Linked DNA regions of Xenopus tropicalis. Each later gene encodes a partner of the first gene's protein in a complex. Links are inferred from orthologs where the notes say so. Each region holds a gene or a part of one and is shown in the gene's direction. Other genes may lie near its edges.

Region 1 (6,345 bases):
TAGCAGAGGCAATTCTCAGTACTGTCTATGGCAGGGTATTTTCTGGGGTTTCGTAACCATGAAAAAGTAGCTGCTACTAGTAGTTCTGTGCGTCTTCACCCTTATAGTCACTGTAACATAAGGTTAGCAGATCACTTAAAAATTAGGGACACATCTAAAAAATCTAGCTAGAAGGTCTGCAATGATCACAATTTAATTTAAATGCAATCAGTTCAGCCCTGCAACATGCATTTATTAAAAGTGTCCCTGAATTTTTAAGTGATCTGTTGTCATTACTGTAAGCACAGGTTGCATTTACACAATGAATGTACTTCTACCTAGTGAATTAAATGTTAATGTGGTCATTAACATTACATGCCAGATGTATTAATTATTTAATTAATTTATATATAGTGCCATGTCCACATAACTTGTTCTAAATGAAATCCCCCACCTGGGTCCATTGTTGGACCCAGAAAAAATGTGGTTGGAACAAAGACTAAAGGCCCCCATACACGGGCCGATAGAAGCTGCCGATATCGGTCCCTTGGACCGATTCGGCAGCTAATCGGCCCGTGTATGGGAAGAAACGAGCGGCCTGACAGACCGATATCTGGCCTGAAATTGGATCTTATAGTGTATGGGGACCTTTACTCAGGGCTTGCAAACCTTATAAATACTTTATTATACTATTGCATACAACATGTTTTTGGGATTGGCCCCTGTGTGTGTTCAAAGGCTATTTGGCTCCACCTCCAAAAACCTCATCAAAGTGCAATCCATGTCAAAATGTATTTTTCAACAATTCTTGCATTATGTGATGCATCCATTGCCCACATTTGCATATTAAATAAGGGCTCCATTAAATTCTGTGTCACCTTACATAGCTGTAGGACCAACAATAAAGGCCATAATAAATAATAAAGTTCATAAAATATTAGAAAAATCCATTAAAACAATTATCTGTTAAAAGAATATTTTAAACAGGATACTGCCCTCAACAGGTCTATGCAGGGGACCCAAACATGTTTATTAAACATTTAACCCATTCAATTAGCTCCTACATCACTTAATTTATATCAATACCTGAAAACAAAAAAATGCTTGAACACATCCAGTAGAAGCTCCATATTCATCACTCATCTAAAAAGAAAAGAAGGATATGTCATCATAATATTCTAAAGTTCCATATTTCACATACAAGTATGGGACCCGTTATCCAGAAGGCTTGGGACCTGGGGTTTTCCAGATAAGCAGTCTTTCCGCAGAGAAAAAGGAAGCCATTTTTGGCATTCCCTTAATTCTGAACTTTCTGGATAATGGGTTTCTGAATAAGGGGTCCGATACCTGTACTTGATAGTTTTTGTTATCTATTTTGCCTCGCTTTGTAATATTGTGTTCAGTGCCTCACCTAATGAGTCACTTATTGGTGGGCATAAATTAAAAAAAATCTGGGAAATAACCTTTTTACGAGGTTCATGGTTTAAATAGGTTATTGGGATCTGGAGCTATATTCTCCTACATTCTGAACACATTGCCACTGTTCACATTTAATAAAGGGATCAATGCCCAAAACATTTTGTGTACAATCACATAAAAGTATCTGCAAGGCTTGAATTCTAGAATAAAGTACGCTGGAAAATTTGTTTTGAAAATTGCACTTTGCACATAACACGGTATTAATAAATGTACCTTATAGAACATTGTGTTAAAATGTTAAAGAGGTTACCAAAGGTCTACAATCTATATATCCCTGTATAGTAACAATACTGCATTAGGATTGTTTGACAATAACAGCAAAGGAAATACCAGTAAGATATGTTTGAGTGAAACACAAACATGAAATAGTGTATTAATAATCTGTAGGGGTGGTACTACAAAGGGAAACAGACTAGAGATTCAAAGGGCCTAGAATGGTCCTTACAAAAAAACAATTTTAATTACCCAATTTAGCATATGTTTAATAGTTCTAAAATGAATTTGTTGTGGGGACCAGTAACAACTAATTACACCACTAATAATGTGTAAAAAAAAAATCTACTTTTAACTGAAACGACGTTCTCGGCTTAAAATCACTTGAACAATTATGCACCTCCTATCCAGCAGCCTAGTAACCTGCAAAAGTATATAGAATCGATTCTACTGGGTTGTTTAAAACGCTTTGCATCTGATATGCCAATGTTGTCTCTTTCCAACGTTCCTCTTTACATTTCACTGAAATTTTACAAAAGTAAAATTGATATGAAACAAATGAAACCTTAGAAACCATTGTAGCACAAAAGATTTCACGCGTGAAAGGATGGATCGAAGCTTTAATAAACCTGCAACGTAGCCATTAGCCAACCCATAACGCCCCGTGGGAAACGCAGAGAAATAGCGGAAGTGACGTGCCCAAAGACCACCCCATCCTATGCGATCTTGTAAGAATGACTGCAGAGCTATCCAATAGAATTTTAAGAAAGCCAGAAAGTACCCAATCGCTATTCAGGGCGGTCAATTAGGCGAAACCGCTGCAAAATGGCGGAGTGTAGTTGTGTGTGAAGACACTATCATCCCGTAACTCGCCATGAAGGGAAAAGAGCGCTCCCCGGCCAAGGCCAAACGGTCCCGGGGGGCGGAGGAATCAACTCGCGAGAGAAGCGGAAAAAAACTGAGCTCCGGTGGAGGCAGTAACGGATCATCGGGAAAGACATCTGAAAGCAGCACAGGCCGCCGGAGCCTGCATGTGGAAAAGGCTATTTCCTCGAGCCGCGACTATGATCAATCGAGCAGAGCCCAGGGCTTGCATCGCTACGGCTCCCCCGGGGCAAGCAGTGGCAGTAGCAGCAGTAAAGGTGGCGCTGAGAGCCGAGGCGGCGGCGGCCGGGCTACAGAGAGCCGTGCAGAGCCAGAATACTACAAATCCTTGCGGATAAGCGAGCTGGGCTCCTCGCTAAGTGACGAGGCAATAGAGGATGGACTTTTCCATGAATTCAAAAAATTCGGAGACGTAAGTGTGAAAATCTCTCGCGAGGGGGACGAGCGTGTGGCCTTAGTGAATTTCAGGCGCGCCCTGGATGCCCGAGCCGCTAAGCACGCCCGCGGGAGGCTTGTCCTTTACGACAGACCCCTCAAGATTGAGGCTGTTTATTTGAATGTCGGCGGTACTAACCGGAGGCGCAGCCGCAGCCCTGGGGAGAAAGACTCGTATGGCGGACTCGCCGCCGCTGTTTCCACACTAGCCACACACAGGCACCCTCACGGCCAGCGCGCACTCTCCCCCGGCGGCCTGGGCTACAGAGACTATAGGCTGCAGCAGCTGGCTCTGGGGCGCCTCCCACCGGCTCCGGCAGCTCTACCCAGGGAGCTGGACAGGGAACGGGAATACAGCCTTTATGATAGCCGGCTAAGGTCTACCTACACAGTAGATCCCCGACTGAACTTTAGAGACGAAGACCTTGCTTTAGAGATTGATGCCAGAGCTAATCGTACACTCTTTGTTGGAAATCTGGATGTCGTTGTCAAGGAGAGTGAAATTTATAGGGTCTTTGGACGTTTTGGAACTATTACAGAAGTAGATATAAAACGAGCTGGTCGTGGGCAGCAAACGACCTATGGTTTCATAAAGTTTGAAAACCTTGACATGGCTCACAGGGCAAAGGTTGCAATGTCCGGCAAGATGCTTCGTAGTCATGCTTTAAAGATCGGCTATGGGAAAGTAGTACCAACAAACCGCCTTTGGGTGGGGGGTCTGGGACCTTGGGTACCAGTAACTGCATTGGCCCGGGAATTTGATAGATTTGGCACCATCCGTCAAATTGATTACCGCAAGGGGGAAAACTGGGCGTATATACAATATGAAAGTCTGGATGCTGCCCAAGCTGCCTGTACCCAGATGAGAGGCTTCCCTATGGGGGGTGACCATAGAAGACTTCGTGTGGATTTTGCAGAAGCAGATGTTCGTTTTCCACATCCTTATGTTCAGCCATTACCCATCCCTTATATTGATTTTGGAGAGGAGACACCAGGACATCGGACTAGTGAAGCCAGCAGAGCCAGAGATCGTTCACCACCTTTAATATTCAGGGACAGGGAAAGAGATGCTTATACAAACAATGATTGGGTGTCACCTCCTGCCAGAGACAGACACAGAGTCACTAGTGAATCTCTTGAAACAATAGAACGACGTGCAGATAATTGGGCTTTAGACAGAGACCGTGAAAGAGATGAAGTGAACAGAGATCAGCCCAGGAAAAGGAGACTGGATGATAGCCGTCACCTAGACAGATCACCAGAGAGTGACCGCTCTAGAAAGAGACACTGTGTCACTCCTGAACGTAGCCCTGAAGGCAGTGGAGGTCGAGACAACCGTTACAATGACTCTGATCGAGTAGCATGCCGCTCCTCACCTTCTAGAGATTGGAAGGGAAGCCTGGAGCGGGGTCAAGAAGACAAACATGATAGAAAAAACTCAGTTGAAAGAGAAAGAAGGCATCGTGTACCTGCAAATAAAAGCCCTTTAAAAAAGGATGAGCATCCAGAGGGCAACAGCAAAGTGAAACCTCCACAAAAATCAGAAGCAGCACACAAGCTGTGTCTGGCTTGGCAAGGTATGCTGCTGCTTAAGAACAGCAATTTTCCATCCAATATGCACCTTTTGCAAGGAGATCTTGGAGTTGCATCCAGCTTGCTGGTTGAGGGACCTTCAGGAGGAAAGGTGGCACAGCTAAAAATTACACAGCGCCTACGACTTGACCAGCCAAAGTTGGATGAAGTTACTCGACGCATCAGAGTGGCAGGGCCTAATGGCTATGCCATCCTACTTGCCATTCCTGGTACTTCCGAGGGTTCATCAGTGGACCAAGCCAGTTCAACACAACGACCCCTAAGAAACCTGGTGTCCTACTTAAAACAAAAACAAGCCGCAGGTGTTATCAGCCTGCCCGTTGGGAGCAATAAAGACAAAGATCATGCAGGAGTTCTTCATGCTTTTCCTCCCTGTAATTTTTCCCAGCAGTTTCTTGATGCTGAAGCAAAAGCCCTTGTGAAGTCTGATGATGACTACCTTATAATGATTATAGTTCGTGGGGCATCCTAGGTCCATGTTTGTATTTCTGTCTACTATTCACAAGGTATTATGGGATACAGTATAACTTTTAGTTTTTTTTTTTTTTGTAATCGCAAGTTCAGTCTTTGTATTGCAGTTTTTGATCTGCTTAGCAAAAGCATTTATGTAATTAAACAGGACCGGACCATATTCAAGTGTTGACGTTTCCTGCCTATTTCCCATTTTCTTTAAATTATATTCTCTTAGCATAGGTAATCACAATCTTCTGATTTTGGCAACTTCTTGAATTTTTTTAAGTGTGAGATTTCTGCTAATTTTTGAATACATTACTTCTTAAATTTGGTTCCCAAACTGTCACTGGACTGTAACACCAAAAATGTTCTCATGTGATGCTGTCCAGCAACAATTGGGAATACAAAGTTAAAAAAGACTTCCATGTATTAATTTGACCCGTTACCACATGCTCGAGTATCCACTTTTCTGCTAGTTTTCTGCAGCATGCAGTAGAGTTCAGTGTAAATACTGTATGTATGTGTATGTGTGTGTGTATATATATATATATATATATATATATATATATATATATATATAATATATATACACACACACAAACATATATATGTTTATCCTACACATCTAAAGAGAGGATTTGAATGATATTAAGAAGGAATTTTATTTTTAAACTTACTCTGTTTAGTTTATTTCCTCCATCAAGAAATGGGTCATATAGCATGTTTGTAGAACAGTGCCATATAAGTGTCAGATATAAGAGTGCCCCATACCACAGAGAGCTCCTTAGCCAGTATGTAGGTTTCATGCATAGAGTAAGCTATGCAAGGAAGCTCTAAATTTGCCACGTGTCACATAAATCACATACATTTTTACTATGTAGGGTCATAGCTAACAATTGACTTTGTCATTTATACTACATAGCATGTATATAGAAATAAGATTATCAATTGCTCCCTTAATGCATATGTCTAAATTTCAAATCTTTTAGATGTGCAGCTATTATTTTTTGTTTTATTGGCAAGTGTGCTTATAAGTTCAGAAGCTAAGGACGTTTCAAAACACCAGAAATGTGTTCTTGCATATATGTAAACTTTAAAAGAGCCCTGTTGTGTTACAGGACAAAAGATATTACTCGACAGACACTGGAGGGCTTTGTGGGCCATTAAAAGTTGGCGATCATACAATGACAGAATTTGCGGTGTCCTGGCCAGTACACTTACAAGTTAATTTTAGGAATTCCTTATGTGAGAGGCAATTTCATGCAGGCGACAATGCTTTGTGTGCCATTGGGATCCTAGAACTGCCAC
Region 2 (6,548 bases), on another chromosome or scaffold:
CAAACCTCTCAGACTGTTGTACTTTCCCCATTGTAATACTTTTCAACTGGGGAGTGCAAAAATATTAAGCACCCCCCCCCCCCCCAACGAAATAGATCGCTAACTTTTTTTTTACCAGGCTGGTGCTGTTAGGACAGAAGCACACCTGCTGGTGTAAAAAACTGAGTGCCATGCAGTTTTTTTTTTTTTTTACCTTTCTACTGGTGTCCCAGACATTCCCTGTGCAAATTCCTTTCCTCCATGAGCAGTAGAATATACCTGTTAAGATTTACTCTACTGTACATGGGCAGAATGCAAGCACCTAGCAAAAAGATAGTAAGGTAATGAGATACAGGAGCTGCGCTCGTTTTTTTTCCCCAAAGGCTAGTTTAGTTCTCTCCTAACAGGACCACCAGCCTGGGAAAAAAACTTAGTGATCTATTTCACTGGGGGGTGCTTTGACCATGCCCTGTTATACCCAGTTAAATCCCCAATCTGTCCAATTAGGATGTGTTCGAAACTCCATGTATACATTTGGGAGACTACAGGAAAATGTGGGGAAGCTGACATCTCTGTGTAAATCACGTGTTCAGAGGGGATCTGAACACTTTAGTTTTCTTAAAATACATAGTGACAGAAAGCATTGTTTTGGTGTATTAAGAGGAAAAGAAAAAGATAACTTTTGAATAAACTTTAATCAGATGCATTTATTGATATTAAAGTTATTTGTAATTGCTATTCAAAGCAGTATCTATTTGTCTGTTTGTCTATGAAGATTCTCATTCATCCAGGTCATGATATACAGTATCTAGTAAGCGTCTTCCCCAAGCGTCCTCCAGCTCCCCCAACTCTCCCCCCCAGCATTCCCTAACTCTCCCACCAGCATCCCCCAACTCTTCCCCAAGCGTCCTCCAGCTCCCCCAACTCTCCCCCCCAGCATCCAACAGCTCCCTCAACTCTTTCCCAAGTGTCCTCCAGCTCCCCCAACTCTCCCCCCAGCATCTCTCAACTCTCCCCCCAGCATCCCTCAACTCTCCCCCCAGCATGCCCCAACTCTCCCCCCAGAATCCAACAGCTCCCTCAACTCTTCCCCAAGCATCCTCCAGCTCCCCCAACTCTCCCCCCCCCCAGCATCCTCCAGCTCTGTCAACTTTCCCCCAGGCCTCCCCCAGCTCCCCCAACTCTACCCCCAGCGCCCACCTGCTTCATCCAGGAAAGCCCTGGAGCTATAAGCGCAGGGGCTGCATGACAAGGGATCCAAATAACCAGCAGCCAGATTACACTGGTTTATGTTTAGAGATTGGAGAACTAGGTTCAACTGTGATTAGGTGAGAAGGAAAGAATTAAGGCAGGAGAAAGCCGGCCTGGGGGGCGGAGAAAATGAGAGGGATGTGATGTCAGAAAAAGAGGGCACTCACGTCCGTATCTTCTGAGGAGGAAGAAACATCCCACCCACCCTCCCTCTTTTTGCATATTTTGCAAAATGTCAGGAATTTCTCTTCTTTTTGATTTCATAATATCTATTAATAACTGAATCTGGATGTTTTCCTGAATGCATTGTTATATTGTGCTTTCTCTATCTTTATACGGTATAAGGATATAGGATATCCTATCATCAAGACACTGCAGATCCAGGACCAGCAGCAGGGCTGCTGAACTTCACTCATGGTTGGTAATGCAGCTCCTGCTGGTATCAGAGTTTCCTCTCTGTAGGTAGAGGCAGTCTAATACTCATTCAAGTCTTCAGCGAGGAACGGCAGAGCATAGTATCGACCTCTTATGAAATTATGGCTTAAGAATATTGCCTTGGGTTAGGCTTGCAAGGTCCTATTTATTTGATAAAATGTGAATAAATGCTGTGGCCATTTTCTCCACCTCTGTCTCCTGTTGTTTCATTAAGGTATGTAACAAGGGGGTTCAGTAGGGTGCCTCAAGGCAAAGGGTCAATTGAGGAGTCCCCTTGTCATGCTCTTTCTCAGCGTCCCCCTGCTCCTCCTCCAGCTGGCCGCTGCTTGCATCCTCTGGCTCACTGTGTCCTCACTTTTAAAGGTTGCGCCCTGTGCATACTGATGTCACATATACGCACAGGGCGCGACCAATCAAATTACCCGCTGACCACCAATGAAAAGGCTCGTCATTTTTAAAGGGAACCCGGGCTAAAAAAAAAAAGAGGTGTATCACGGCGGGGCCCCCATTGGCGCGGGCCCGATTGCAGCAATAGGTCCAATCGGCCTAGGGCCGGCCCTGTATTCTACAGAGCGTATCGCCTATGTTACCTGTGCCATTTAGGGCAGTGACACACAGGGAGATTAGTCGCGCTGCAACACAATTTTATTTTGCTCAGTCTATGTATTTTGCCTAGTTTTGTTTTTACACTGAACTGCTCCTTTAAAGCACTTCATTTTTGGTGTTACTGGTCCTTTAAAGCTTTACATCATAACTACTGCAAAATGCTCCAGTGTTTACAAAAATAGTGTTTTTTTCAAGGTTACATACATACAGGTATCGGACCCCTTATCCGGAAACCCGAATTACGGAGAGGCCATCTCCTTGTACTTGATCCTAACTAAGATATAATTAATCCTTATTGGAACAAAACCATCCTAAGGTAGGAGATCCAAATTACAGAAAGACCCCTTATCTGGAAAGCCCCAGGACCCGAGCGTTCTGGATAATGGGTCCTATACTAAATATCAGTAAAAGTTCTAAATGCAACTTGCCTTTAAGTTTGTGTGTGCAACTGCTATTGCATGGCATGGGGCAGCCAACTTGTCTACAAACTGTCCCTTGTCCCTAAAACATGAAATCATGCCAAATATATGAAGTGAAAATTGGCAATGTTTTTACAATTATAGAGTTTTGAATAAACAATTTTGTATACATAAGGCACTTTAAAATATATATGTGTGTGTGTTGATATACTATATACACACTCACAAATATATATTACACATAAAGCACGTTTTCCTAATAAAATTTCGTGCTCCAGTTCAGTCAAGAGAATGCGTATCTCTCTCATGGCAGGGGGTGTGACTGAGAAATGACTCCCGCCTCATTTCCTCCGCTGCCGCCATTTTGTGTCGGAGACATCTAGAGGAGGAAGAGACGAGAGAAAAGCAACATTCGGAGACCTGATAAGACTGACCGAAACTACGAATTTGCCTGTAGCGATTTAAAGTCGCACAAGCCATATTAATTGTTGCCGGTGTCAATAGGAACTCTTTCTCTGAGCACCGCGGAATTGCGAGTACCAGGACAGGAGCCGCCCGGGCTGCGCAGCTCACTCACCGCATAAGGTGGGAGGCAGAAGCGGAGAGGACACGGTGGGTTTGAGTTGTGAGGTATTAAGCAGAAACCATGTGCTAGTTTGTACGTTTTGGGACTATTGGTGACTCAATCTCTTCTGTGTATGTGTGTGTGTGTGGTGGGCACCAGGATTGTCTGTATCTGTTCCTTCCAAAAAAAAAAAAAAAAATGGCGGAACTCGGAAGGCTGCGGCCTTCTCGTGACTGACCTTAGAATCGGGGCTGTAGTTAAAGGAGAGGGCATTGCAGGAAATCTGCAGCTCCCATCCGAGGAGGGATGTACGTGACTTAGGGATGTCCAACTGCAGTCCCCGCTGGGATTAGTCGGAGTGGTGGGAGCTGCTGTCGCAAACGAACATAAGCTGAAGGACTTCCCTGATGTAAATTGAAAATAACACGTTAACCTTTGTCACTATGCTTTTCCAAAGGCTCTGATAGTGGAGAGGGGCAGTGAAATTCACCCAATTACCGTGTTTCCAGTTATATGCAAAGTATATGAGCAGTCACTTGTCTGCCAGTGAGCAGGAAAGCGCTGTACAGTTACATGGAAGTGAAACTACTGGATGTGGCAATGCTTACAGTTTCACATGCTGCTTTTTTGGAAGGAATATAATTGGGGAAAATAAATGAGAGACCTCAGCTTATTTAAAAGTGCACATATTTGCAGAAGCCATGTTTGTTAGACATTTTGAGACCCCCCCCCCCCAATTTTCCCACCATTTTGTTTATAAATACTCTGCTTTACAAGCAGAATAACCTTTGTTCATGTAAATACAACATTTTAAAGATTTGGTTACTAAAGTAAGTGAAGCAAGGTGACTTAAAAATCCTAGTTCACATGGGAGTTTGTTTTGCCTGTTTGTGCTTTATTCCATGCTGTGATTGCATGGAGTACTAACTACCCTGAGAGCAGATGCTGCCCCTATGGAGGTGACTTGCAGGTATATGCAGCAATATGTGAAAATATGTTGCACATATAAGCATTTTTACCTGTGTCCCATTGTAAGTTTAGTGATTGTTTCCAAGAGAGTACAGTAAAATGTAGCCTTGCTAGCACTGTTTGTGTTTATTGGCTGGAATCTTTATCCAGTACTTCTGAGGTTTTCACTTGCCACATAGACTTCACTTCTAGGTAATCTTGATTCTAAGATGATCTAAATATTTAAATTATTTTCAAATAAAGAATTAAAACAAGAAGATTAAAAAAGAAATGTCAATGCCATTAAACAATAGAATTGCAGTGATACTACAATAAATCAAATCTTCATGCAGTTAGCATATGATTCACATGGAGCATCATACATGGCATCTTCATTAGATTCAAAGATGAGATGGTTAATCTTTATGGAAGATAAAGGGTAGTAGTACCAAAATACCTTTCTGTTGCTGGTAGTTTGTTATATGCTGTCAACCAGCTGATGCCATGTCCCTTAGAGAATTGTTTTTTGACAAACATTGTAATTGTGGAACGTAGTTATACTCACTGGAGAACCAGGAAAGCCCTGGGGTATCAACGTGAGAAGTCCAAGTGTCCAATAAAGCTCTGAAATGCATTGCATATTACAGGTATTTTATGTTAATGTTGCATGTGTAACACAACATTTTTTGGTGTATAGATGCTTATAGTAAGCCCACACATTTTGTCAATATAAATTGGAAGCAGTTTGAATCCATCTGGTGTTATTGTTGCTGTGGTTTGACTAAGGGAAACATACTTTGTACAGTTCTCTTAGCTGATTCATAATGCATGTTTTGGAGGTAGACAAGGTATCGGACACTATCAGCCCACCAGTTTTTTGGTTTTTTTTTTTTAGGTTTTGACACTTTCATTTTGGAATATAATAAACCTGAGTGTGTTTCTTGTTAATTCCTAGTTATTGCCCTGCAATCTTGTTAACCCTCCTGGTGCATTATTAGTCATTCTCAGATCTATGTTGCCATATTAGATTTCATTTTTATTCTGCGAAAGTAGAGTTAAAAGCAAAATGTTTAACATGATCTTGTTGGTGACATTGTTTTTTTAGTTATAGAGGAGTGAGTAAAAGTTTTGAGAAAGCTGTCATGCAGTCCTGCAAAGCAAATTAGGTTAGCCCTCTCCTGCCTTTTATGTGGAAAGTGCCACAATTGCCTCTTTCTTAGTGCTCTTTTTATACAGAAAGGGCATGTTATATCTTTGATGATATTTCCTGATGCTGGCAAGCAACAAAAACTGCTCATGAAAACATTGTAAATATCAATATAGTTCTGTAGGGAAAGGGATACAGAGTACATACACTTAAAGGCTTATTTTGGCATGCAGGGAATCAAGCTAGAATGCAGTTTAATATGAAATCATTGTGCATCACATTCGCACACTGGCTGCCTCAAAAAATGGTTAAATTCTTAGTGGCCAGGTCCTCCCATAGTTTATGGTTTTTCACTGTAGTCTACTTGAAAATGCACAGTTTGTGCATTTTATGCATCAGTTAGCTACTTGGTAAATAAATATGTAACCGGATACAGTGTACACTCAGTTATCATCTTAAGCCACACTTCTTTCAGTCAGTAGTTCAAGAGATACAGGCTCCTGAAACCATTGGCAGATCCAGGTGTTTTCTCATGAACTGACAGCCATACCAATCAAGTAATTCTAATTGATTAGAATGATTTTACTTTTCTCTCTAATCAAATAGTCCAGTGTACTCAATCGCAACTTAACTTCATGAATCCATATTGGTGGCAAAACAATCCTGTTGGGTTTATGTAATGTTTCATTTTTTTAGCAAACTTAAAGTAGAAGGAAAGGCTAATTCACTTGGGGGTGCCAACATGTTAGGCACCCCCAAGTGACTTTAACCGCTTACCTTTTACCCCGGACTGGTGCCCCTGTTAGGAGAAAACCTCACCAGCCTGGGGTTGCTGCGAGTATAGTGAAAAGCCGAACTTTAACAACGCTACAGGTACACCGGGCTGGTGCAGTTTTCTCCTAACAGGGGCACCAGCATGGGGTAAAAGGTAAGCGATTAAAGTCACTTGGGGGTGCCTAATATATTGGCCTTTCCTTCTCTTTTAAGGTATGGTGTTCCAAATTACAGAAAGATCCCTTATCTGGAAAAACACAGGTCACAAGCATTCCATATAATGGATCCTGTACCTTTGCCGTCTGTACATTAAGGAAGTAAGCAAAGTTAAAACATGCTAGCTTCAAGGTCCTTCTCTACCCTTGAAACAACAGACATCCTTAGTAAGCCACCTCATAAATTTAGCGTAACCTTCTTTTTACGA
Region 3 (5,901 bases), about 62 Mb from region 1:
CTCTCAAAGGAATTCAGGGTTCAGCCACATCCAAAAAAGTGGATTTGGTGCACCCCTACTAATGTTGAAAAGATTCAACATTTCTGCGGCTGAGAATGAAAGGCTATACCTCTGGAAACACTGAACTCTGTCACGACTTGTGTTGGAAGTGGGTTACTGCTTACAGATTTAGCAGTATAAGACAATTAAAGGAACAGTAACATCAAAAAATTAAAGTGTTTTAAAGTAATTAAAATATAATGTGCTGTTGCTCTGCAAAAAACTGGTGTTTTTGCTACAGAAAAGCTACTATATAAATAAGCTGCTGTGTAGCCATGGGGGCACAGGTTACATAGCAGATAACAAATAAACTCTGTAGAATACAATGGCATTTTATCTGTTATCTGCTAAGTAACCTGTGCCTTTTGAATGCCTTTGAATGGCTACCCCCATGGCTACACAGCAGCTTACTTATATAAACTATAGTAGTCTTTCTGAGGCAAACACACCAGTTGTAGCAATGCAGGGTAACAGTAAATTATATTGTAATTACTTTTATACACTTAATTTTTTGGTGTTACTGGCACCTTTATTACAAGTGCCGACTTGTGTGTCTAGGGTTTTGATAATCCTCTGTCTTGTAATATTAAAAAATAAAGTACCAGCACAGAAAGATGTTAAGGCTAGTGCCACACTTGGCAGAATCTGCCAGTACGCTTAAAAAATATGATAGTTGTAGCTGCACCCGGAACCATTGCTTGGGCTGGGATACAGCCACACTAAGTGGAATTTGGCAAAAAAACCTTCAGTATAAGAACAGATGTTTTAGTGGTTTTGATGTTTTCCAACCCCCAATGTTTTTGATCCCTATTGATTATCCATAAACAATTACTATGCAAACCTGCGGACATGCACATAAGCTATTTACAATACAACATACAGTCATGTACCTTTTTTACCATTTCAAACAAGAAGTTGCTATATTACATTCATCATAGATTGCTAACAAAAATAAATACTGATATTGTTCCACGCATTTCCAGCAACTTGTATATGTAGCTTAATGATGTGGCTGCATGCCTTTTATGTCAAAATGCATGTGGTTCCTATATTTGCTGTAACTAAAACAAGGTTATTTTTGTGTCGAAGAAATACTTTTGCAAAAGTCCTTGCTGATCTGGTTGCTGATGTGCACTTTTCATGGGTCTCTGATTCAGATTATCACTTCTAGTATGATGGATTTAAAAGACAATTTGTTTTTTTTTTAAACATCTGAACTGCCAGGGTCACTGACCGGCAGTAGTTTCTGGAAAATGAAAATGAAACGCCCTGAATACAAAGAAAAACCATGCAAGACAATTCTACATTAACAGCATAGCCTCACAATCTACATTTTAATTTCCAGGTCGGAGAAGGGCAAAATAGAAGGGCAAATAAATCAAAACCTACACAAAGACCAACGGTAAAGTTGCTTAGGATGCTTAAGATACTAAAATATTAAGGTGATCTTCATGACTAAAACATCGTTAAAGAGACACTATCATGTGGGCAGATTTTTAAATCTGAAAGCAATGCCTAATGGTATATATGGGGGGGGGGGGGTAATCTTTAATCTGCCTTTCTCCAGTCATAGAGCTTTCTGTATAACAGTTATGCCTGTCGCATAGTCCTTATACAGATCTCTAATAATTCCCTATTTTACTGGTAAAACAAGAAAAGATAAAATGTTGGTTATAGTGCTTTTTTCTTAAATAAATTAAATTGTGTAAATGAAGTAAGGTTTTTTTAAGGCATCCTAAAAATGGAGCACTTTATTCTTCATATCAGTTAGCTGGGTCGGGTGCATCTTTAAGGAGCAATCAGTCAGTTCTAAAGTGGCAATTTTGATTTCCTTTGTGACAGACATATTATGTTCTGTTTCTGGCAGGGCAGTTCTGAGGGGGATGTCTCAGGAAAGGGGGAGGTTTGGTTGCATCATGGAAAAGTTGTGTAGCTATGGGTGGAACAGACATGGCTAAGAAATGTCCCAGTATTTAAATCTGTAATGTTGGGAAGTTCTGCAATCCCAACTTCAAACTTTTTGGTGCGCCCAAATTATCTTCATTTTATTTTTCTAAATGTGTGGTATTTTTTTTTTCCCTAAAAGAAAGCGACACAGGAATGAAAGCAGCCCAAGCCCACGCCAGTCCCCCAAGCGTCGCCGAGAACACTCCCCTGATAGTGATGCTTACAACAGTGGAGATGATAAAAGTAAGAATTGCGTCTTAAAACAAAAAAGTCTTCATTTTTACTAGATTTTTACAATTTTGAGCTCTTCCATTGCCTTACTTTTCCAGGTGGCTACAGCCATGTGAATTATGATCTGATAAACTTCAGTTTGTTTTTGTTTTTCTGTTGGATTTGCCTTTAATGGTTTAAATCAAATAACTTGACTGCGTGAACCACAACTTGTAGAATCCCTTGACTTCCATAAGTCAGTAAGGGAGCAAATTATGTATTGGGCATTGCAGGATTTGACCTATAATTTGGTACTTGTTTGTGTTTGGTTTTCCTTATGCATCAAGCCTTCGCCGAGGCAAGAATATTTAAAAACTCTGCACTTATGTAAATGCGAAATGTACAAAAAGGAACATTCTGCAGCCTCTAAATGACCTCAAATAGTTAGTTTGGTTGAATATTACTGCATTTTTAAAATTAATAAGCAAGACTGACCTTGAGACTAATGTCTCCATGCCAGCCATTACAGAACAACTTTGCTTGGTGTCTGTAGAATCTGAACTGTAACTTTCAGGCTCTGCAAGTCTTAATCTGCAATCAGATATGAAATGACAGCAGGAAATGGCTTTTGAGGGCACCCAGTGGCCACATAGTGTACATAGTTCTACTGTGCAAGAGTTATTTCTGCATCTCTCATGTAAAATATATTTTCCTTTAAATTTCAAATAAGAATGTGGTTGGTCTGCCTTGATTCAGCCATAACAAACATAGTAATAAGGTATTTATAAAGTAAGTATGAATGGCAGGCTTCTGTCTCTGCTGCCATATTGTAAGAATTGTATTTTTTGCTTGCAGATGAAAAGCACAGACTTCTGAGCCAAGTGGTTAAACCCCTAGATACCCGTTCTCTAAGTCCTGCTCATGTTAATGAAGAAAGACAATCACGCTGGAAAGAAGAGGAACGCAAATCAGAAAGAAAGGAGAGCTCAAGGCGCTATGAAGAGTCAGAAACTAAAGAGAGAGCAGTTCCTGCAGCAGAAAAGCAGAGGGAACATTTAGCAGAACCTAGTGAAAATTCTAAAGTTAAAGATCTGGACACTGTTGTTCAGCACAAAGCAGAGGAAAGGGATATTTCCGAAAAGCTACACGACGACAAAACAAAGAAAACAAAATTGCAAAAGAAAGCTGCAAAAAAGAAAAAAGAGGATGAGGTTGGAACAGAAAAAAGCACAACAGAGTCTCAGTCTGATGATGTTCAAGTCTTTTCACCTAAGAAAGGACAGAAAAAGAAGAGTGTTGAGAAAAAACGTAAGAAATCCAAGGGTGACTCTGATGTTTCTGATGAGGAAGTTGTTCAGCCTAGCAAAAAGAAAAAAGGACCTAGAACACCACCCGCTACAGTTGCTCCAGTTTCGGTAGCAGCACCCATAAAGGAAGAAGTCGTTGAAGTGTTGCCTGAGAAAAAAGTGGTAGAGAAAAAAGTGGTAGAAGTTTCTCAAGAAAAAGAGACCGCATTTAGTGACTGGTCAGATGAAGATGTTCCAGAAAGAAAAGAACCTGTTCCTTTAGAGAAAAGCATAGAGGAACCTATCAAAAAGCCTTCTAAAGTCAAAGTAGAAAAAGAGGAACCTCGACCTGCAGCCGCCGAAGAACCTCCTCCTCGTAAACCCACAGAGCAAAAACGTAGCAGCAGCATATCCAGCAACCAGAGCCGCACATCCAGCCGCCTTCGGTCACCATCCATTGATTCTGTTCATCGAAGTGGAGAAGACCATAATGCAAGAAGGAGATTATTGCATGGTAGCTCTAGAGATCGTGACAGAAATAAAAGCATTGAGCCCACCGGGGAACGCAAGTCCAGGATAGATCAGCTGAAACGTGGAGAGCCTAGCCGCAGCACTTCATCAGGTGGGTCATTCAGTAAATCGAACAAGGCTTTTTATTGAATTTTAATGGATTATGTCGGTTATTGTTTATCAGTGTTTTTTTGAAGATTTTACCAAATCCTACAGGACAAAAAAATTAAAGAAGATCATTGTGAGAATCTATAAAAGTATAGGTCACTTTTTTATTGTATATTGGTTGACGTTTTTATATTGTTACTGCTGTCATTCCGGCCCAACTGAATTGACATAAGGACTTGAGAGGCCCTCTAGAGGGTACATATTGTTATAAGGTACTAATGTTGTAAAGTCAGCAGCATTTAAACTAATACTTTTTTATGCGTACCAGACTTAGGAAACATTAGTAGTAAATTAGTAGTAAAGAACCCCTTTGTACAAGAAAGTACTATAAGTACTGTAAAAACTTAACTTGGGGGAATGTCGGAATTAGCACATCCCACACCATGCTTTATTCCACACAGTTACATATCAAGGTAGTTGCTTTGGAATGCTTTACTTCTCTTGCAGGCCTTGTTTTTATTAATTATGTGGAGCAAGTATGCTCCTCATATGGAAGTCACCAAGAATAAAAGATTTCTTATTTGCTGCACAGAAACCCAGTTGTGTAGTTTCTTTAGTAGTAGAGACGTTTTACTATTTACACCTGCACACAGCTGTCAGTCTTATATTGATTGAGGAAAGATACCACAATAGTATAAATGTGTTTATTTGTTTAACAGATCGTCAGGATTCAAGAAGTCACAGTTCCAGAAGAAGTTCCCCTGAATCAGATCGTCAGGTGCATTCCAGATCTGGGTCATTTGACAGCCGGGAAAGAGCTTCCGAAAGAGAGCGTTACGAATATGAGAGAGAGCGTGACAAGGACAGAGAGAGAGAAAGGAGAGTTGGAAGACAGAGGGAGTGGGATCGGGAAGCTGATAAAGAATGGCCAAGAACCCGAGACCGTGACAGGATAAGAGAAAGAGAGCGTGAAAGAGACAGGAGGAGTGACATTGATAGGGAACGTGAGAAAGTTCTTCCTGACAGTACAGAGAAAGAACGAGTACGCCTTCTTGATATGCCACCCATTGCTGAGCCAAAACGTACTGATCTAAAGGAAAGGGACCTGGACAAAAATTATGATAATAGCAGCCGAAATATTTCAGCTGTGGATAAAATAGACCGAAACCCTGAAAACTCGCAGGATATCAGCAATAGCCGTAAAACTGAAAAGCCAGAGAGCTTTGATGGTAAGATTTTTTTATTATATCTTAAATTTTATTAATGTAAATTTTTTAATGAACCAATTAATATCTTTGCCCTTTTGCACACTAATGGCTTTTCGTAGAACAATTAGTGATTAATATAAGACACACATGTAGTGCAAAACACCAAATACACTTTGCAGTATATGATACTGCAGTGTGAAAACTACATTTGCCGTCACACACATACATTATATTTTTAAGCAAAAGTTTCCAAACTTCAACAAGAGTTGTTTGGCTTTCTTATGTAATGCGGCTGTTTTCTATGGGAGTAAAGTGGCCACTGTCAGTCATGCACCTGCATATGGACAGCTATTTTGGAATTGCTATTTTTCATGATATAGTTATTTATACCAGAAAAATATTTTATCTCAAACGTGCCAATATCTGAGAATTTTATGGAGATTTCTGTAGATCAAACACTCCCAGCAAATATTCAAAATATTGCAAACTTTAGATTCCAAAGCAAAAAATCTTGGAACATTAGGTTTATCCCAGGAAACCATATATTTTTGAAATGTGCACATTCTGCCGAATTCGAAATGGGTAACCATGTC
Region 4 (5,901 bases), on another chromosome or scaffold:
CCAACGGTGAATATCCCCATAAATACCAAATATGAGAGATTTTAACCCTCAGTGAAGAAATGTAATGGAATGAACAGATATGCAGAATACTGCTTGTATATCCCTTGGGGCAACCAGCATCCAGAACCACTGGTTTAATAGCACAGATAGCTATTGGCAATTGCAAATATATTAGGATCTGGCATTACTGAACTAGTGAAGTGGAAAACTTTGTTTTCTGCAAGGGTTTACAACAGTATATTTAAAACAGTAATACGTTTTTAAAATTTAAATGTATCCACCAAGTGGGGTTTGTCAACAGTGCTTGGGTAATTTGCAAAAGTTGTGAACCTATGGGCCAGTGACAGTGAATTGGAATGAATGGCACTGTAAATACTTTTTATTTAATTTTGAACCTGATCATTTTAGGTTCAGTCAAATGGGGTAGCATAAGCAAACTTCCAATATTCAAACTATGTTGGGCTTACTTTATTTGTGCTGACATTGGGCATTTTCCTTTTCCTGATATCACATATGGAGCTTTAGTAGGTTGTAGACCAGAAAAAAAGACTAACAAATTGGCAAAATGATTAATATTTCCCATGGTCTTTAGTATGTGACTTGAAGTCACAATAAATCTTTGCATTAACTGCATAGCAGTGATACATAGTCCATTATCGTGCTCAATGTTTTAGATCAATGTTGTCTAACTCATTAAGCCAGATATTTCTCATATAGCATGTGTGAGGGCCAGATAAAATAATGTCATACAGTGAAGTCTCTTAAACTTTTTAAGCACACTTCGGGCCATTTAAAGTCTTTGTTTTAAATTATAGCCTCCTTATTTGATCATAATACATTTTTTTTTTCTAATGGAAGGGTACCTCCTTTTTATATACATGGTCAGTTTAGTTTGGTTGACCTTACCTTTTGCTCATAGAAGATGATTAATACTAGCTGCTTTTTGCCAACACACTCTCTTGCTTCATAAAATGTGTAGAATACACTTATAAATTCAAATTTTAAAACCTTCTTTGTTTTCCTTTCAGATTCCATGTAAGCATGTTTTCTGCTATGACTGTGCTTTAATGCATGAGAAAAAGGCAGATAAACTGTGTCCAGGGTAAGCCTACAATTACATTTATTTCTTAGAAATAGTAGAAAAAATATTTATTTGGGGCTAAGTACTAGTGTATTATTTATTCCTCAAAAGTACCTAGCAGACGATAAGATGGATAAGTCAATATATTGCTCATAATCATTTGGTAGTTGCTTCTCTTTTGACAAAGTTAATTAACAATCGTTAAACATTAAGTATATTTATAAACATGCATGAATCCAGATTTTATTTGTTACTTAGGGTGGGTACTGTTTCCTTTATGAATGCTACATTCTCTATTTTATTTTTTAATATTATTTTAGCTGAGGGATGTTCTTATTATTCTAGTCATGTGATTTTTTTTTGATTTTTTTTTGGTTCACTTTAAATACCTTACAGGGTGGAGCTAAATGGAATGTGTATTTTGTTTTTTTTTTATTTTGTGGTGTAATGTCTCTTTTTCCCCTCCCAAAAGAACACTTGTTGAAGAAAGTACTGACACCTTTAAGCGTATGAGGTAGGTTCTAATAGTTTAGCAATTTCTTAAGTAACTGCAAAGATATGGTTAGGAATGTTTTTTTCCCCAAAAAAATATTGCAGCATATTTGCTGATGAGCTACATTTCTTGATGTTAACACCTCAACTTACTTAAGAACAGCCTTGCCACACAGAATGTGGGGATGATTTTGTTGTAATTTTATGAGCGTGATTACATTTAATTCCTGATGAGCAAGGAATCTTTTTGTTTTAAAAATATAGCAGAGTTTGTTTTTTATTATGCATAAAACATGTTTCATCCTGAAAAACTTTTGAAAGCTTTAAAATAGCAATGTTCTGGATTGCTCTTTTTATTGTTGATTAGCACTGGTTCTTTATATGAGTTCACTGAAACTGATATATTGCAATAGTTTAGTTGGGCAAGAAGTATGGTACCTATTTTCTAGAATGCTCAAAAGCTGGGGTTTTCTGGCTCTGTGAACTGGATCACCATACGTAAAGAATAACTTTAATATTAAAGCCAATAAGGTTGTTTTGCCACTAATATGGATTAATGTTATCATAGATGTAATCAAGAACAAGACATTTTTATTGCAAAAAGAAAGGGAAAAAAAAGTAACTATTTGCTATACATGGAGTGTATGAGACATGACCTGTTGTTCGGAGCTTTCTCTACCTTACAAATTAGAGATCCCATACATTTTGTTATTGCGATTTTACTTTTAATAATTGTTGGGATAGGTTTGGTGCTTTGGCAATAACTAAAGGTTCAAGGTTGTATTCTGTTAAATGAGAAAAAGAAAGTGATGCTGAAATAGATGCAAGCTCAAATCTTTGCAATTGTGAGCTCTTAATGAAAAGGGCTGTCTTTATTTCTTATATCGATCAGTATTAGCGTAGTTGATGCACATCCTTCCGCATGTTGACACTTAAAAGATATAAAACATGCAGCCCAACATTAGGTAAATTTTGCAATTAGTTTTTTTTACTGATCTGGAACGGCTTTACTGATAAAATCAAAGCTGGAATAGGAATTTAAAAAACTTGAGTTTTCCTCAGAATTTACCTGATGTTTAACAATGTATGTTTCTGTATCCATTCAATTAACTACTTTTTTTCTGTAGCTAAACAGAGACAGATTATGGCTTAGCAACCTAAACAGTTTATTCACCCACAGGGATACACTTTTGTGATTTAGTGTAGCTGTTTATCATGCTATGTAAATGACTAGGTCTGATTCAACTTGATGCAGACTGAGACTATTTCCTACATCTGATAAGCACTAAGATACCGTAAGGCAACAGTGTGGTTTGAAAAATAGTTATTCTGCAGATACAGCATGCATGCTGGAAATGTGGTGCATCAGATATCAACTTTCTTCTGCTAGCTTGAGCACTTATGGATATGATTGCCCATCTTTCACACTTGCACAGGTATGCCTAAAATGTAAAATGCCTAAGTCTCGTGCTAACGATGCCTTTGGCTATGCTGGACCTTTTAGTATGAGTAGTTGAGTTAAAGATTTTTACTTTACTGCTCAAGCATATAGTTCCAACAGATTCAAAGGAGTACTGGCAACGGACACAAGATGTTGGTAAATAGGAGCAAGAGACCCTGCCCATTAACTTTATACAGTTTGCATCATCACCCATAGTGATTCCAGTTGCTTACCTGCTACCCTGACTGGCACTTCTTCTTCTTCAAAAAAAAAAAAGCACAGCCTTGGGCACTACTTACCAAGTGCCGAGTTGCAATTTTCTTTAAATCTCGTAGATCCTCCAATTCTTGGAGGACTGTGCTCCAGGCTGGTATGTTTTTTGAAGATGGGTTTTTTTTTTTTTTTGGAACTGCTGGGGGCTACTTAAGAACTTGGCAACCTAAGTTATTTTAATGTTCCATCATTTGGTAGGTTTCTAAAGGCAAATCATTTAGCTTCTATCAATATTGTAGTCTTAAATGTTTCTAGATGGTTTTGCCCGTTAAAACTCTTGCAGCCATTAAATTATGATGTGATGTAACTGCATGACTGTTTTTAGAGTATTGCGTCAATGCCTATCTTTTTGAGGCAGCATATGCAATTATATATGCATTATTTAAAGTTCTGGTAAATTATGACATTGCATATGCAATTGTAATTTATTATAAGCCCCAACTGGCGATAATTTGAAGGTTTTGGTGGCTTTGTCTTTCAAATAATTTAAATAACTCTGATAAAGTTTAATTTGCTGGGGTTTCATTTAGAAATCCCCAATTTTAATTGTAGTAAATATGCCTCTTTACTTTTAAAACTAGGAAATTTTCATACTAGGTTGGAATATTTTTTTCATCTTACGTTAAATTAATTTGAGGAAGATTTTCATTCATTAAGAAAATGTCTCAAATAGGACATCGATGTGAATATTAGTATGTTTCCAAGCAGCATTAAGAAACTTCTGTTTTTTTTTTTTTCCTTTTCAGTTGCAATGATCCCGTTCAACGCATTGAGCAGTGTGCACGTGGCTCTCTCTTCATGTGTAGCATTGTGCAAGGTTGCAAGAGAACATATTTATCTCAAAGAGATCTGCAGGCACACATTAACCACCGTCACATGAGAGCTACCAAGCCAACTGCCCGACCTCAGCCTGAGCCAATCCATCCTCCTTTGGCCCCACCCCCAGCAGAAATCCCAGATCGCTTTATAATGCCCCCAGATAAGCATCATCTAAGTCATATGCCTCCAAAACAACATATATTGATGCCACCTCCCCCAATGCAACATGTTCCTCATGAGCATTTCAGTCAACAACATGATGATATTCGGCCCTCTCCAGCAGAAATTTCCTTAGCCCCGCCTCCACCCCGCTCTGTTAATCAGGATGCTTTCAGGATATCTACTAGACAGCATAGCAACTTAATCACAGTGCCTATTCAGGATGATTCCAATTCTGGTGCCAGAGAAACTCCTCAGGCACCTGGTCCTACTCTACATCATCCAGAGTATCCAGGCCAACCAGTGGTGGCTCATCCTCACCATATAATGCCTCCACAGCAGCACTATGCTCCACCCCCTCCACCACCCCCTCCAATCAGTCATCCAATGCAACACCCTCCTCAGGCAGCTGGGACACCTCACATGGTTTACAGCCAAGGTCCTCCACCACCAATGACAACTGCTCCACCACCAATAACACCCCCACCGGGACATATAATTGCTCAAATCCCACCATACATGAATCATCCTCCTCCAGGACCTCCGCCACCACAACATGGTGGTCCACCAGTTAATGCTCCTCCTCCTCATCATTATAATCCTAGTTCTTTGCCTCAGTTCAATGAAGATCAAGGAACTCTAAGCCCTCCCTTCACACAACCTGGGGGAATGAGCCCTGGGATGTGGCCTGCTCCAAGAGGACCACCGCCACCCCCCCGAATGCAAGGGCCTCCTTCTCAAGCCCCTATTCCAGGACCTCATCATCCAGATCAGGCCAGATACAGGCCGTATTATCAATGAAATACTTATGCTGAACTTGCTAGATGTAATCTTTTGCTTCAGCTGCAGGTTTATGGTAATGTGTATACAGTCTCTTCAGTTGTGGCTTTCCCTTTTTGGGGGTGTTGTAAGCAAAAAACACAATTTCAGTTGAACTACATGTTCTGAAAATTTTGACTTTAATCATACAGTCAGATTTGTGTTTTTTTAGATTTTGACAAACCGCCATCTTAAGATTATAACTTCTGCATTTCCTAGCAAGTGTCTCATTTTAATGATATGTTACACCCAATGTAATATAAATGTAAGTATATGTGTACAGTAGTAGTTGTTTTCCTTGAGTTGTAAGATATAACAAGTAACCGCTGTATAACATTGTAGAATTTTTACAGCCAGTAAAAAACTTGGTTTGTAAGATTAAATGTTCTGTTTTATTAATAATAAAAAAATCTTTATAGTCTGATTTACAAGCAAACTTCATAGCGGATAATGGCACTTACATTGATTAGAAAGTAGGCTGTTTATTCTGTCAGCTAGTGTCTGCCTTATTGAGAATTAAAATATTAGTTTGTAAATAGGGTTCTGACACAGCAGACAATGGAAATGGAATAGCACGGCAACAGTGTTTGCCATTCACTTTGAATATCAGGAGTTTGTAGCATTTTGTTCGCTGGTTTGGCAAAATGCAACAAATCTATTAGTCTGACATTACCTTTATTCTGTATAATATGCCTTTATTCTGTATAATATGCTTTTGTAACACTAAAACTTAGAGCCTATGTGATAAGTGGAGCTCACCACATGGAAGATGGGTGCTAGAGGTTTGGGGAATACTGCTATAATTTTGTAAGGAAGG
Region 5 (5,901 bases), on another chromosome or scaffold:
GAGAAGCTGTTAAAAAGCAATTGCAAAATTACACCGTGAAACATTCTATCTTGCTTGAATAGGCTAGTGTGTTACCTGTTACATGTCTGGGTGTGTTTCCTTATTATCTCACATGAAATAGCACGTGAAGATTTTTAGCTCACTTTATAACAGCATTCTGTCATGGTTGGGGTGCCCACCAGTGATTACAGTTGCTTTCCTGTGACCCTGGGCCAGTGCTCTTATTTGCTGAAGATTGCATTTAAGATCAAACTAATAGAAGGTGAAAGCAACATGTAAAGGTGGCCCTCCATCAGGCCTAACCAACAGTTATCTGGCCAAAAATTGGGCAGATGTCTCCGGTAACTGATTATAATCACTGTGGGACAGTGCCTAACATTCAATTTAAGGATAGGAGTGCTAGTATTCAATTTTTATAAAAAAAAAAATGGATTTCTGCTTGTGTTTTTGGTATTGTGTCAGTGTTTTTATCAGCTGCCTTCTGTTTCTTACATTTGTTACAAGTATTTTTATGGTGCTTGTTGTTCCACAATCACAATAAATTGACTCTCTTCTCTTACAATGCAGCCTGATTTCCCTGTCACACGCCAAGGAGTAGAAAGCCTTTTACAGAAATTTGCTGCTCAGGAGCTTATTGAGGTTAAGGGTTGGGGACAGGAAGATGATGACCGTCCTACAGTTGTTACCTTTGCTGACCATTCTAAATTATCTGCTATGATGGGGGCTGTTACAGAAAGGAAGGGATCCACAATTCCAGCTGGAGCTAAGAAGAGAAGGCTGCAGGAGGCAGATCCTTCAGCTTCATCATTATCTTCATCCTCATCTGCCAGTGCCTCAGGGGAGAAGAAGGCATCAGAGCCACAGAAAAAGGCAAGAAAAAATGCTTCCCATCTAGACTTGGAGATTGAGAGTCTCCTAAGTCAGCAATCTACCAAGGAGCAGCAAAGTAAGAAGGTAAGCCTCAGTAAGAAAATTCCAAAGACGAGAATTGGATATGACTATAGATAACAAGAAAGAGTGCAGGTATATCTTGTCATTGTTCCTTTTATTTCAAGTTTGGAAATGGTAAGCTGGTAAAGTTCTGTTTCTTGCTCTCTGTCTGGGCATCTTGTGCCCTCAGACCTTGGGGCTTTTACGCAAGGGTTTTTTTTGGGATTACAAATGTATGCTAAGTGCATAAAATCATATATGTTGCATTTATAGGCATTTTTAAGTACAACAATGTGTGTATATTGTGAGTTCAAGTCATATCTCTTTATTATGTTTTGTTATGAATGTATGTAAAATGCACAAAAAACAGCAAGTTGGGTTTTCAAAAGATGCGGTGCAATTTGTCTGTGATAAATCACAGTTCTATGCACACATGAGTACAAACTGGCAAATATAATGGAATCAAATAGCTGACGTGTTTAAGGGCTATAAAACTTTCATCGTAAATGCACAAAAATAACACCCAAAAGGTGAAGGAGGGAAAATTGAAGAGAAATTTGACTTTGGGATACTGGTACTACTTAATCCTCCTTTCCTCCAATTACAGTCAAGAATATAAGCTGTGACCCGATTTGTACTTTTTTATATTATTAAAAAGGCAAAACACATTCTGTATTCAATCCTTGTGTATCAGACTGATGTGACACATAATGTATAGTACTGTATATATTGCCCTTTGTTTACCTTGTTTTCATTGAACCCTAATTCTGTTTGTTTTGCCAGGTTAGCCAGGAAATCTTAGAACTACTTAACACCAGCACTGCCAAAGAGCAGTCCATTGTGGAAAAGTTTAGATCCCGTGGCAGGGCCCAAGTACAAGAGTTCTGTGACTATGGCACCAAGGAGGAGTGCATGAAAGCTGCAGGAGCCGACACACCCTGTAGAAAGCTGCACTTCAGGTAAGACACAGGCTACTTAAAACCAACAACCGATTGCATTTGTTTTTACAAGTTGTTTTTTAACATAATAAGCTCATTCCGTTCATAAATCCCTTTAAGATATATACATTCACATGCATTTAATGGAGAATGTAGTTAAAGCGGACCTGTCACCTTAAGAAATAATTTCAAATTGTTTTCTGTTGTGTTTGGCAAGCAAAATAAACTTTACTTACACTGTATAAATTATTTTAATTTTATTTTCTTCATCCTTGGAATTCACAGCAATTGCAGCAAGCAGGCAGGGGCCATTTTGTGGACACTGTTATCAAAGCAGGCATTGCATCCTGCCAAAATCTTGTTTCTGTGCCAGTATGGGGGGACCTGATGCCCATGTCCATGCACTGGTTACACAATTACATGGTGAGGAGGGAGGGGGAATGTGTGGAGGGCAGCAACATCTAAGAAGTTCTGAATTGAAAGTGAAAGTAACTGTCTGCCCCACCTCTATGCCTAAGGCATAGAGGCGGGGCAGGCATTATATGATTGACAGCTGGGATTTTAAAATGCTTTTATAATGGGTATGGATGTGGTAATAAAAAAATTATTTTGGGTTTCATGTTTAATTTGAAAAGGACTTTTATTATACAACTTTTTATGTCTGGGTGACAGGTCCACTTTAAAGGGACAATTACCCTACAAAAAGCTGGAAATTTATGCTTGCAGACGCTGATGGGCTTTTTATAGCTTTTACTGTCTATAAGGATATATATAATTTATAATTATTTAAAAGTGAAATGCCCTTACAGAGTAGAACAGTAGAGTAAAGGATTGGTTAAACAGGCTCAGTACAGGGATGTTAAAAGATGTTTTAAAACCAAGGAGAATGTACAAAAAGGAATTTTATTTTTGCAGTTTTAGAAATCTTAAAGTGATACCGACACTCAAAAATCTACTCTTCAAAAGATTAATGTACACTAAGTTACCAATACGTTATGCTGATTTTGACATTTTTAAAACTGATTGTTTTGCCAACCTGACTGTCCCTTCTCAACCTGTCAGTTATTGTTTCTAATGCTAACGGACTAACGGAGCACAAATATTGCTGCCCTCTCATGTAAAAGCATTGTAAAAAGAATTATAAGTAGCTTGCAAAGGCAACGTTATGATAGAAGTTAAAAAAAAATGCTGCCCTTTTTTATTTGCTTCATTAAAAATTACATTTACAAATGCCTTTAATTGGTCAGAGAGTTCCTAAATCACCAGTTACCAGTGGCTTTCATTTAACTTTCAGAGCATGAATGTTTGATAGGCTTCAACCTCTATACAGCTCTATACAATGGTATTCTGAGACAATTTGCAATTGTTTTTTATTTTTTCGTTTTTTTAGTTATTTAGTTTAGTTCAGAAGCTCTTCAGTTTGGAATTTTAGCAGCATTTTGGTTGTTAGGGTCTTGTTTACCTTAGCAACTAGTCAGTGTTTTGAATGAGAGACTGGAATATGAATAGCATGGGGTCTGAATGAAAAGTAACAATAATAATAAAATTGTAACCTCACAAATCAATATTTTTTAGCTGCCAGGGTCAGTAACCCCCATTTGAAAGCTGGAAAGATGTAGAAGAGGAAGTCAAATAATTAAAAAGCTATTAAAAATTAATAAGGAAGACCAATTGCAAAGTTAATAGGAATAGGACATTCTATAACCTAATAAAAGTTAACTTAAAGGTTAATCACCCCTTCAACTACAAAATCTACAGAGTGGATATTCTTTGTATAAAATCTATTTCAGGGTGCTTTATTGGTTATATAGTAGCTAAAACTAAAAAAGGTATAATTTTTAAGCAGTTTTTTTGGTTTATTCTACCCATTTGCTATTTCCCATGCAGGCGCATCATTAACATGCACACTGATGAGTCTCTGGGTGACTGTTCCTTCCTAAACACCTGTTTCCACATGGACACCTGTAAGTATGTTCATTATGAGATTGATGCATGGGTGGAACCTGGAGGAACAGCAGTGGTGCCAGAGGCAGTACCAAGTCAAGACACCCCATTAACAAAGGCAGTAGGAGACTCCAGTGTGGGACGCCTCTTTCCTTCACAGGTGAGGAATGTCATTACAGACACCATACTATAAGTGTTTTAAAGCAATATTTTTTTTTATTGCACAAAAACAATTTTACATCTTGGTAGCACAGAGTCTGAGTCATTTCTAAACACTTTCATTTAACCCCAATTACATTAGCCATAGCAACCAATCCACAAATATATTTATTCAGTCTACTGCAGGTAGAATAATACATCTCTGGTTGTTAGGGGCTTATTACAATGGAGCGGATTTGCACTGTATTAGTAATCGAACCTAAATGTTTTTATACCTTTATTGCCAATATACTTACTTAAAATAAACAACGGGTTAATTTTATAAATGTACCAATGCTTTTATTTGGAAATCATATATTCATGCATTAGATCAGAACTTCTAGCAATGAGTTGTATTTTTTTTTTTATTCCTTTGGCTTTCTGACATCTCACTTTTCACACATACCAGTGGATACGCTGTGACATCCGTTACCTGGACATGAGCATCTTGGGAAAGTTCTCTGTAGTGATGGCTGACCCACCATGGGATATTCACATGGAGCTGCCATATGGGACACTAACTGATGATGAGATGAGGAAGCTGCAAATTCCAGTGCTACAGGATGACGGTTTCCTTTTTCTTTGGGTCACTGGGAGGTAAATGACACTGCCTAAAACCCTCTCCTGTTTAAATGCTAAAAAAACATTTTCTAGAATTCACAAATGCACCTTCTGCTTAATTTGAAAGTCCAATTTGTTTTTGAATGTGTAATTTGAAAATTAATTAGCAGTGTTAATAATGAAATAACCTTTTTGCTGATACATTGTAACTTGACTGCCACGGAACATTCATTATAACTCTACTTAGATTGGCCTTGCACATAAAGTCAGGTGCTGGCTCGTTATTCTGTATTTTCACTTGGAGCAAGCCTATTTTATTATCTTGTTTCAGTATGTTTTGGCAATTGTTGGGAGAGAAACATATAGTGCCCAGGAAAGAATAATCTGTAGCTAAGATCTTCTCAAACTGTGGGGCTGCTGCATGTGGAATCACTTAACGAATGACATATTATGACTGCCAAGTTTGGTTACCTCGGGGGTAAATGTTAATTTGTTATGCTTAATGTACATTAAAGACCAACCTAAGAGTTTAGAGGCATCAATTTACTGAAATTAATTTATTTAACCTAACAGTTGTCTGAACACTGTAGCTTTAGCACTGCCTGTCTGTTTGACTGCATTATATATTCTAGGGCCATGGAGCTGGGCAGAGAGTGTTTGAAGCTCTGGGGGTAAGTATATAACCTCTCATCTCTTATTAACTTCCTTCTGATCTCTGTTGAATTTCTTTAATTCCTATGCTTTCCTTTACTCAGTTATGAACGGGTAGACGAGATCATATGGGTAAAAACCAACCAGCTGCAAAGAATTATAAGAACTGGACGTACTGGCCACTGGCTGAACCACGGCAAGGAACATTGTTTGGTAATAACGGTCACTGTCATTATGCCTCGTATAAACATGCTGTCCAAATGTTTGCATGCATGCAGGAAGTTAGAATAGAAATGCATGCAAACACCAACCCTACTCACTGTTTTATAACATTGTTTGATGGAAAGGCAGGCTACTTTTATCCCACTAATGGCTTTAGTTCTTAATGTAGGTAATTTTATTTAATGCCCTTTGCTGTAACATGTACTTAGCTACCTGCATTCATGGTGGAGGTCATTTATCAACAATGGACAAATTTGCACCACGGCAGTACCCATATCAACCAGTTTGTTATACTTGCAGCTGGATGAAAAAAAAATCAAATCAATGATTGGATGCTATGGGTTACTGCCTAGGTGCAAATTTGCCCAGTGTTGATAGATGAGGCCAATAAGTGACTTCGTGCTCATCCCACTTACAGTAGTACCATAGTTACTGCTTATGTCACATTGTATTGCGT

What was found.
Region 2: rbm15 (region 1) and wtap share a complex: the UniProt entries of both Homo sapiens proteins name them as parts of the WMM complex. The link is inferred for Xenopus tropicalis from reciprocal best matches to the Homo sapiens genes RBM15 and WTAP.
Region 3: rbm15 (region 1) and zc3h13 share a complex: the UniProt entries of both Homo sapiens proteins name them as parts of the WMM complex. The link is inferred for Xenopus tropicalis from reciprocal best matches to the Homo sapiens genes RBM15 and ZC3H13.
Region 4: rbm15 (region 1) and cbll1 share a complex: the UniProt entries of both Homo sapiens proteins name them as parts of the WMM complex. The link is inferred for Xenopus tropicalis from reciprocal best matches to the Homo sapiens genes RBM15 and CBLL1.
Region 5: rbm15 (region 1) and mettl3 share a complex: the UniProt entries of both Homo sapiens proteins name them as parts of the WMM complex. The link is inferred for Xenopus tropicalis from reciprocal best matches to the Homo sapiens genes RBM15 and METTL3.

The regions. Positions count from the first base shown.
Region 1 is NC_030678.2:72,274,134-72,280,478, forward strand, and holds the start of rbm15 (RNA-binding protein 15), read left to right. Parts: upstream 1-2,453; 5' UTR 2,454-2,545; coding exon 2,546-5,056; 3' UTR 5,057-5,090; intron 5,091-6,345. UniProt on the Homo sapiens protein: RNA-binding protein that acts as a key regulator of N6-methyladenosine (m6A) methylation of RNAs, thereby regulating different processes, such as hematopoietic cell homeostasis, alternative splicing of mRNAs and X chromosome inactivation mediated by Xist RNA.
Region 2 is NC_030681.2:44,106,914-44,113,461, reverse strand, and holds the start of wtap (pre-mRNA-splicing regulator WTAP), read left to right. Parts: upstream 1-2,995; 5' UTR 2,996-3,302; exon of another isoform or gene 3,303-3,320; intron 3,321-3,520; exon of another isoform or gene 3,521-3,664; intron 3,665-6,548. UniProt on the Homo sapiens protein: Associated component of the WMM complex, a complex that mediates N6-methyladenosine (m6A) methylation of RNAs, a modification that plays a role in the efficiency of mRNA splicing and RNA processing.
Region 3 is NC_030678.2:134,299,120-134,305,020, reverse strand, and holds part of zc3h13 (zinc finger CCCH domain-containing protein 13), read left to right. Parts: intron 1-1,384; coding exon 1,385-1,441; intron 1,442-2,125; coding exon 2,126-2,229; intron 2,230-3,051; coding exon 3,052-4,104; intron 4,105-4,819; coding exon 4,820-5,329; intron 5,330-5,901. UniProt on the Homo sapiens protein: Associated component of the WMM complex, a complex that mediates N6-methyladenosine (m6A) methylation of RNAs, a modification that plays a role in the efficiency of mRNA splicing and RNA processing.
Region 4 is NC_030679.2:76,283,582-76,289,482, reverse strand, and holds part of cbll1 (E3 ubiquitin-protein ligase Hakai), read left to right. Parts: intron 1-1,028; coding exon 1,029-1,102; intron 1,103-1,553; coding exon 1,554-1,595; intron 1,596-4,033; coding exon 4,034-5,066; 3' UTR 5,067-5,901. UniProt on the Homo sapiens protein: E3 ubiquitin-protein ligase that mediates ubiquitination of several tyrosine-phosphorylated Src substrates, including CDH1, CTTN and DOK1. Targets CDH1 for endocytosis and degradation.
Region 5 is NC_030677.2:141,969,504-141,975,404, forward strand, and holds part of mettl3 (N6-adenosine-methyltransferase 70 kDa subunit), read left to right. Parts: intron 1-567; coding exon 568-954; intron 955-1,713; coding exon 1,714-1,889; intron 1,890-3,755; coding exon 3,756-3,972; intron 3,973-4,419; coding exon 4,420-4,607; intron 4,608-5,203; coding exon 5,204-5,242; intron 5,243-5,326; coding exon 5,327-5,435; intron 5,436-5,901. UniProt on the Homo sapiens protein: The METTL3-METTL14 heterodimer forms a N6-methyltransferase complex that methylates adenosine residues at the N(6) position of some RNAs and regulates various processes such as the circadian clock, differentiation of embryonic and hematopoietic stem cells, cortical neurogenesis, response to DNA damage, differentiation of T-cells and primary miRNA processing.